2 linked regions of the Danio rerio genome follow. The protein of the gene in region 1 purifies or fractionates together with the protein of each later gene. This does not show direct contact. Links are inferred from orthologs where the notes say so. Each region holds a gene or a part of one and is shown in the gene's direction. Other genes may lie near its edges.

Evidence for each region. The genes of interacting proteins can lie anywhere in the genome.
Region 2: the proteins of rad18 (region 1) and slf1 purify together in Homo sapiens (affinity purification with mass spectrometry; 4 studies listed by BioGRID and IntAct, with this or other methods). This does not show direct contact. The link is inferred for Danio rerio from reciprocal best matches to the Homo sapiens genes RAD18 and SLF1.

What each region holds. Positions count from the first base shown.
Region 1 is NC_133181.1:44,383,690-44,387,348, forward strand, and holds part of rad18 (E3 ubiquitin-protein ligase RAD18), read left to right. Parts: intron 1-287; coding exon 288-358; intron 359-1,093; coding exon 1,094-1,154; intron 1,155-3,659. UniProt on the Homo sapiens protein: E3 ubiquitin-protein ligase involved in postreplication repair of UV-damaged DNA. Postreplication repair functions in gap-filling of a daughter strand on replication of damaged DNA.
Region 2 is NC_133180.1:54,463,902-54,467,560, forward strand, and holds part of slf1 (SMC5-SMC6 complex localization factor protein 1), read left to right. Parts: intron 1-1,484; coding exon 1,485-1,629; intron 1,630-1,854; coding exon 1,855-2,002; intron 2,003-2,142; coding exon 2,143-2,288; intron 2,289-3,659. UniProt on the Homo sapiens protein: Plays a role in the DNA damage response (DDR) pathway by regulating postreplication repair of UV-damaged DNA and genomic stability maintenance.

The sequences.
Region 1 (3,659 bases):
TGGATTGTATTTTTCCCCACTGTTTTGTCATGTACCATTGAGTGAATTAGTAAATTGCACTGCATTGGATGTAATCAGTTGATGTAAAAGCTGATTGTCGTGATTTTCAGAATTATTTTGGAGTTCACATTCTGTGTTCACTGGCGGTAATGATTTGTGCAACACATTTAGTTTGTGACCTAGAATAGATACTGTATATGTGGAATCCTTCACCTGTTGGTTATTAAGTTTGCTTCAAAAATGTTGGTTGTATTTATCTTTATTTTAAATGTTTTTTTGTTTAACAGCTGAAGAAATCGCCAAAGAAGTTGAAGCCAATGAGCGACTAAAGAATCAGCTGGACAGTAAACGGAAACCTGTATGTACTACTATGGATTGTCGTTTCTAAATGATAAATACTGTATTAGGGCTGTCAATCAGTTAACCATTTTAATAGAATTGCTTGCACAAACATTTCATCTGATTACACACATTTAGGTTATAATTGTATTATGTATACAATATTTTTGTTATTGAATCTAAATGGCTTTTTAGATATTATAGGCTGTGCTATTTGGATACATTTACAGCATTTATTGCATGTCCCAAATATTTTTAATGACTGCAAAAGAAAGAAGCAACACAAGGGTGATTAAATATATAATTTTCATTTTTGTGTAAACATTTTTGTTAATTTATATGAGACTATAACATGATTTAGTTTAATGAAATAATATAAATTATGAGATCAGGTCTATGGGATGTTTCATAATTGGTCCATTTGTCCAAGAATGAAAAAAAATGTTCCATTTTCTGATGAACAAATATAGTAATTTGCTCTATTTTTATAAATTTCCATTGTAATTTCCATCCATGCATTTATGGTAGAACTTTCTTGTGACAACTTTTTTTGGTAATGCTCTTTTTGTCAGCCACCAACAAGATATTCATCAGATACTTATTTCTTTTTTTGTTTTTTGTTTTGTTTTTGGGATATTTCAGCTTTTTATAAGTGCTGTGACTTTGAAACAGCTTTTTAGATTTTTATTTTTAGTTATTTTTTATAATTATAATAATAACATCTCTTTCCCCCCTTATTATACGTGTTTCCCAGGTAATCATCACTACAAAGAACCAGACAGCCGAAGAAATTGAGGAGGTGCACTCGATGTATCGTAAGTCCTGACTTCTCAAATCTCACATTTAAAAAGCAATGAGACTTCTGCTCTGCTTGAATTAGAGGATGTGCTGTCCTTGCGCTGTTGGAAAATAATGTTTGAGGGATGTCACAACAGGGTCACATTCATTCTCCTGCTCATCCCCATGTATTGTAAAATAAAAATGCCATTGAAATCTGCACTGAAAATTATTGACTACTACTGCTTCAAGGTTGACTAAGAAAATGCATTTGCTCAATGACCAGTCAGGTAAGGATGAAAGAAATCCCTTGCTTTAGCAGTGGTTAGATTGTAATTTATTCTTTAACTGATCTAGAAAACATGGGCTTTTAAAGAAAATTCCTGCTTTTAAATTCTTATTACATTTTAATTCTCAATTTTCAGTCTTTGTATTGGGGGTAACGCATTATAAGTAAAGTGCGTTACGTAATAATATTACTTTCCAAAGTAACGAATAAAGCATAGGTCTCAAACTCAATTTCTGGAGGGCCGCAGCTCTACACAATTTTGATTGCACCCTAATAAAACACAGCTGGTCCAACTAATCAAGGTGTTCAAGACTACTAATCTCTAGTCTTTACCACTTTGATTGGTTGGAGCACCTTTAATATATGGGGCATCTTTGTTTGATTAGGGTTGGAGCAAAACTGCAGAGCTGTGGCCCTCCAGGAATTGAGTTTGAGACCTATGGAGTAAAGTAACATTACTTTTAGGAATAAGTAAAATTATTTGAGTTACTTAAAAAAAGGAACTCAAGGTACTTTTTACCTTGCTTAATTGGCTTTTACAAAATAAATTGTAGAATAAAAACTACCTTAGTCAGGTTGAATCACACAGAGAGCGTGCCGTGAGGGAACAGACAGTTAACTTGCACTCATCATCAGGTCTCTTTTTCACAGCATGAGTCAGTGTACTGTTCTAGTAACTGAATAACTCAGGATATTAGTTTATTTCGAGTCAGGGGTTATCGGGTATGTTAGTACTAAAGACGCAAACCATTTCATGACAACGCCATCCCATTTAATGAACTGGTTCAACTGGTTCGCTGAGAAGATCCAGTTAAAAACGAGCAATTAATTTAAGAATTACTTGTCATCGCTACAGACAGTCAGAAAAAGAAATCATAGCAGGCCGGAGATTTACATTTTAGCAATGGATTCTTGTTAATTTGAACTCATCGAAGAAAAGGAAGTGGATTGGTGTTAAGTGTAGATTATGTGTAAGTAAAACTCTTGACAATTGCAAGAAACACAACATAAAAAAACAAACAAACAAACAACTGGATGTACACCCGCACTTCATCTCCAGCTAAGCAACAAATGATTGACATCAGCTCACAATCTCCAGGTAAAACAATTAATTCGACTAAACTTAAAAAAAAGGGTTATTGGGAGATGCAGCCATTGTATATTGTAGAAGTGACTATGTTTTATAATATAGTAAGATTTTTTTTCTCTTTTGGGAAACTATTTGCACATTTGTTAAGGCAACGTGAAGCAATTATTCAGTGTTTAAAGCTCAGATTTATTTAGGGGAATGTTTTTTTTATCGTCTCACTGTTCATTTTATTAAACATTTTAAAAGTTTAAAATCTGTTTTTGCCTTAATATAAATTATTTTATGTTAGTACTCGAAGGCTTTATTGCAATCTTTATCATAATGGACAGGGAATTTGCTTAACTAATAACACAAAATGTACAAAAGTAGCAAAAACATTATTTAACATGCTTTTATTATTATGTATGTGCCGCATGTATAGCTCTGGGCTCAGAAAGATATCTAAAAATATAATATCCTATATTTATTAAAGGAAAATGAAGGTTATACAGGTTGTTGTTTAATGCAGAACTTATCTATACAAAAACATGAAAAAACACCTGCTAGTTCTAAAATAAATCAAACCTCAGATAGGTACGGAAAAGCAACGCTAAATTAACTCAAGTTATATAACACACTACTTTTCATAAAAAGTAACTAAGTATCGTAATTAGTTACTTTTTTAGGGGAGTAACTTGATATTGTAATGCACTACTTTTAAAAGTTAAAAAATTAATAAACTTTAAATTGATGTAAGCTGCTGTTAAATATTAATTGTTGTAATTAAAATAAAACAAATAGCTGATTAAAGTGCTATCCAAAATAGAAAAACACAGTGCGTTTCTATGCAGAACTTGTCTGTCCGATTATGGCACATCTGCTATCGCAATCATCAAGCGTTCCTATTTTGATTTGCTGCTTTAATGTAATGCCCATGTATCATCGGTGTGCTCTGGAAGGGTACTAGCAATTTCCGTTTCCACCTCATATATCAGATCTTGCTCAGGTGCGGTCTGGACTCCATGCAGAACTGTGCTGCAGAGATTTCCAAACCGAATACAGATTTATCTATGCCGTGAATGTAGCCGCGTACTTCATTTGAAGTTTGTCTCCAGACGATTTCATTATGCATAATCTCACTTCCGTTATCCTCAGTGGTTCTTAGCCAAAATGCTTCCTAGAAAC
Region 2 (3,659 bases), on another chromosome or scaffold:
GATTTCTATTTAAAGAAAAGAAAGAAAAGAAAAGAAAAGAAAAAACACCCTGCAAGTTCTAAAAGTGATCAAGCCTCAGGCAGGTTTGAAAAAGTAACTCAAAAGTAACATAATGAATTACTTTCCATAAAAAATAACTAAGTAACGGAACTAGTTACTTTTTGCAGGAGTAACTCAATATTGTAAGGCACTACTTTCAAAAGTAACACTGGCTAGTAGTATTCTTCTAACATGTAAAAATAATTTAATCTAAAGTTATTTGTGTATATTTTGAAGATTATTTTCTGATGATCATTTTTATATCAATACTATTCGATAACAAAATTATTATTTATACTTTTTTTTAAAGTAATGTCATCTAATTGCTAAGACACTGCTTTAACTATGGGTTTATAATGAGGGTGACTTGAAGTTAGTTTCTTCCCCCAAGACAGTCCTGTATTAGAACTTATTATCCAGACTTAATATAGATAGAAAGTTTATGTTTAATTTTTATTTATTTATTTATTTTTGAGGGTGACAAATATTATTTACATATCAATTGAGTTTTAGTTTGTGAAGAAGTGACCTGTGTCATTTAGCATCAAGCCAGTTTCAGTGAAATCCTCAAAAACAATTTACTTTAGTTATAGCAAGGTAGAAACATAAATATTGAAACACCCGTCAAAGATCTAAAGTAAATGTTTAATTATAGTTTATATAAAGGCCGAGAAAGATGCAGAGAGATTTTTTACTTCATTGCACATTCATTTTCCTATTAAACTTTTATATTTACAGTCAGTTTTCCACAGTTCTACAAGTTTTACAAAACAAATGTATACATTTACAAGGTGTATTTGCAAGAAAAATATCTCCAAAAACACCAAATTGATTCCAAAAACACACCAAACCTTTTCAAACATTTTCCAATCATTTATTCTTTAAAAAAAAAAAAGTCCGGACTTTACCAACCGTAACAATGTATAAGAATTATTGAGGTCTTTGTTCAATTTTATACATTCGGTTTAAATAGATTGCCACCTTTGCTTTACCAATTATAAAAATTAAGTAGTTTACAACTATTATTTCTTTTTTACTGTGTTTAAAATAAAGACTTGTTCAGAGAATAGTTAATTACAAGTAAAAAACAAACCTTTTTTTAAAATCAAAGAATGATATTAATCTAAAACATTGGGTAAAAGCATGAAAAAAAGCTTAACAACTTTCTCCCACTTTTTTAGACAATGGTGGTTTATACACAATAGTATAAATTCATTTAAATTCAAGAATACTCTCAAGATGCATCTTTACTTTCAGTGGATAAAAATCCAGCCACCCATTTTCCACTTTTTCAAAAACAAACCATTAAAACATCCACCTCAGACATGCCAGTGAGAGAGAGAGAATTTTATGTAACACTAAACCTAAAATGGTAGCAATTTCAAATGTATCGCAGCTTTTACATATTAATATCTATAGCAGTAACTTTGTCTTGATGTGTGCAGAAGATCACCTGGAAGCAGTCGAGCATCTGTTCTCTATAGTACTTTCTGGAGCACGTGGGAAAAGTCAACTCTAAACTCCAGAGCAGTTCGGCAGCTCAGCAGACTTTTGATCAAGACTTTAATGTGGGCTTACAACTGCAATCAGGTGTTTGATTGTTTTTAAGCATACAGTATGTGTTTATGACCTAAGTGATTAGTCTTAATCATGTATCCATACTTGTATTAACTAATTAATTTCCTGGATCAAACTTAAATTAGTCTTATACCTGTTAGATCATAGTATGGCAGCAGATTGTCACTTTAAATGTACTGTTTTGTTGATACCTGTCCAATCCAGATTGCAGGCTGAGTTTAGTGTGTTTTTGTGCAGGAGTGCAGGCTGGGAATGTTGGTCACTCTGCAGGAGACTCTGTGTGTAGTGGTAGAGTTCTGGGCTCAGGAACACAGTCCACTCAACAGCAGTCTGGTGCAAAAAGGCTTTAAAGACCTGGCTGAACACATCGCTCTACTGTGCCAAGGTATCCCATAGTGCAGATGGAAACTGGCGAAGAATCACTTTATGCACTAAATGTAACAAATAAGAATTTCAAAAATACATAGATATTATTTATTGGAAATGAAACGTGGAATTTATACATTTCTTTTTGTCTTTCTTTAGACCTTGACTTTGACATGTTGAAGGAGGTGGTTCCAGCCCTTCGCTCCGCAAGACTCCGGATGTTCACTGCCGATGCAATTTACAGAAACATCTGTTGCAGCAGGGGCCTGTTCTTCAGCTCTGAACCACTCTGCCTGCTCAAAATTGTAGGTTTTTATCATATACAGTGTTACAACATCAAGATTTATGGGGTCCGCATGTTTATTTATAGGGTCCAAGCTAGTATTACATTTTGCCACACATTTTGATGGAGCTGTTCGCTATGGCAAATAATTAAATGTGTATTTATTTATTTATTTATTTATTTATTTATTTATTCATTCATTTATTCATTCATTCATTCATTCATTCATTTATTTTTAATCAATTGATAATTTAACTTTGCACGACTTCAACATGACTGAAATAGCACTATCTTCATTAAAAATTGTCTAATTAAAAAAGGTTATGTGCCAACTTACACATGACGTGGTCAGAATTTTATTTTATTTATTTTATTTTATTTTATTTTATTTTATTTTATTTTATTTTATTTTATTTTATTTTATTTTATTTTAAACAAGTGTTAATTAAAGGTATGTGGCCTGAAACAAAATTCTGTCAGAAGAATAGTTTTTTCCACTTAAATCTATGTTAATGCCATTTGTAAGAAAGACTTGTATGTTGTTCTTGCTGTGAATATAGCTATTGGGGTTGGGAATCTTTAAGAACTTCACAATTTGATCCGATTCTGAGTCTTGATTCAATTCCAAAGCGACCTACATTTGTTTTCTAAACGTTTTGGCTGTGCAAATATACTGTTTTTCGAACTTTAATTTTGAACCAGAATTGGAGTTTCTATGCTTTTGCTTATGATTGTAACCAATGTTTTATTTTTTTCATCAACAAAGTTATATTCATCCTGATCAAGCTCTGATGTACACTGAACGTAACTGATTACAAAGAGCATTTTTAAAGAACAAACAGTTCTTATTCCAAAAAAGAGAGCATTGCAATGCTTTGTTTATTTATAACCTTTCAACAAAAAAAGTCTTCAAAGCAAAAATGTTTGAATAATATTGATATTTGCAAATTATATAGGAATTCATTTTAGTTCAGAGACACAGAGCACTAGCTTTAAAACATAGTAGTAATGTTTCGCTTTCAAATTAAACTAATTTAGCTGCACATGTACATGTGTCTGTCAATTGTACGGTAAGTGATCTGCCAAAATGATAAAAAATATTAGCATAATAGCTTTGAAAACGCAGTCCTTCCCCTGCAGTTCAAAGCCACACCTCCTGAAATCACAAACGTGCACAGTAAAACTGACAGTAAACAATCCACTGGATCATGTCATTCACCGGTTAGAAAACTTTACACTACTTTATAATACTACAATTGCCAATGGAAAAACTGTATTATACCTTGCACGTTTTCAGTTGTGTAGCAAGCTAAACTTGTCATAATTTGCAATATTTTATGTATGCAAGAATCCCTGGTTTCAATCTCTCACATGCTTTGTCCTAAATCAACCT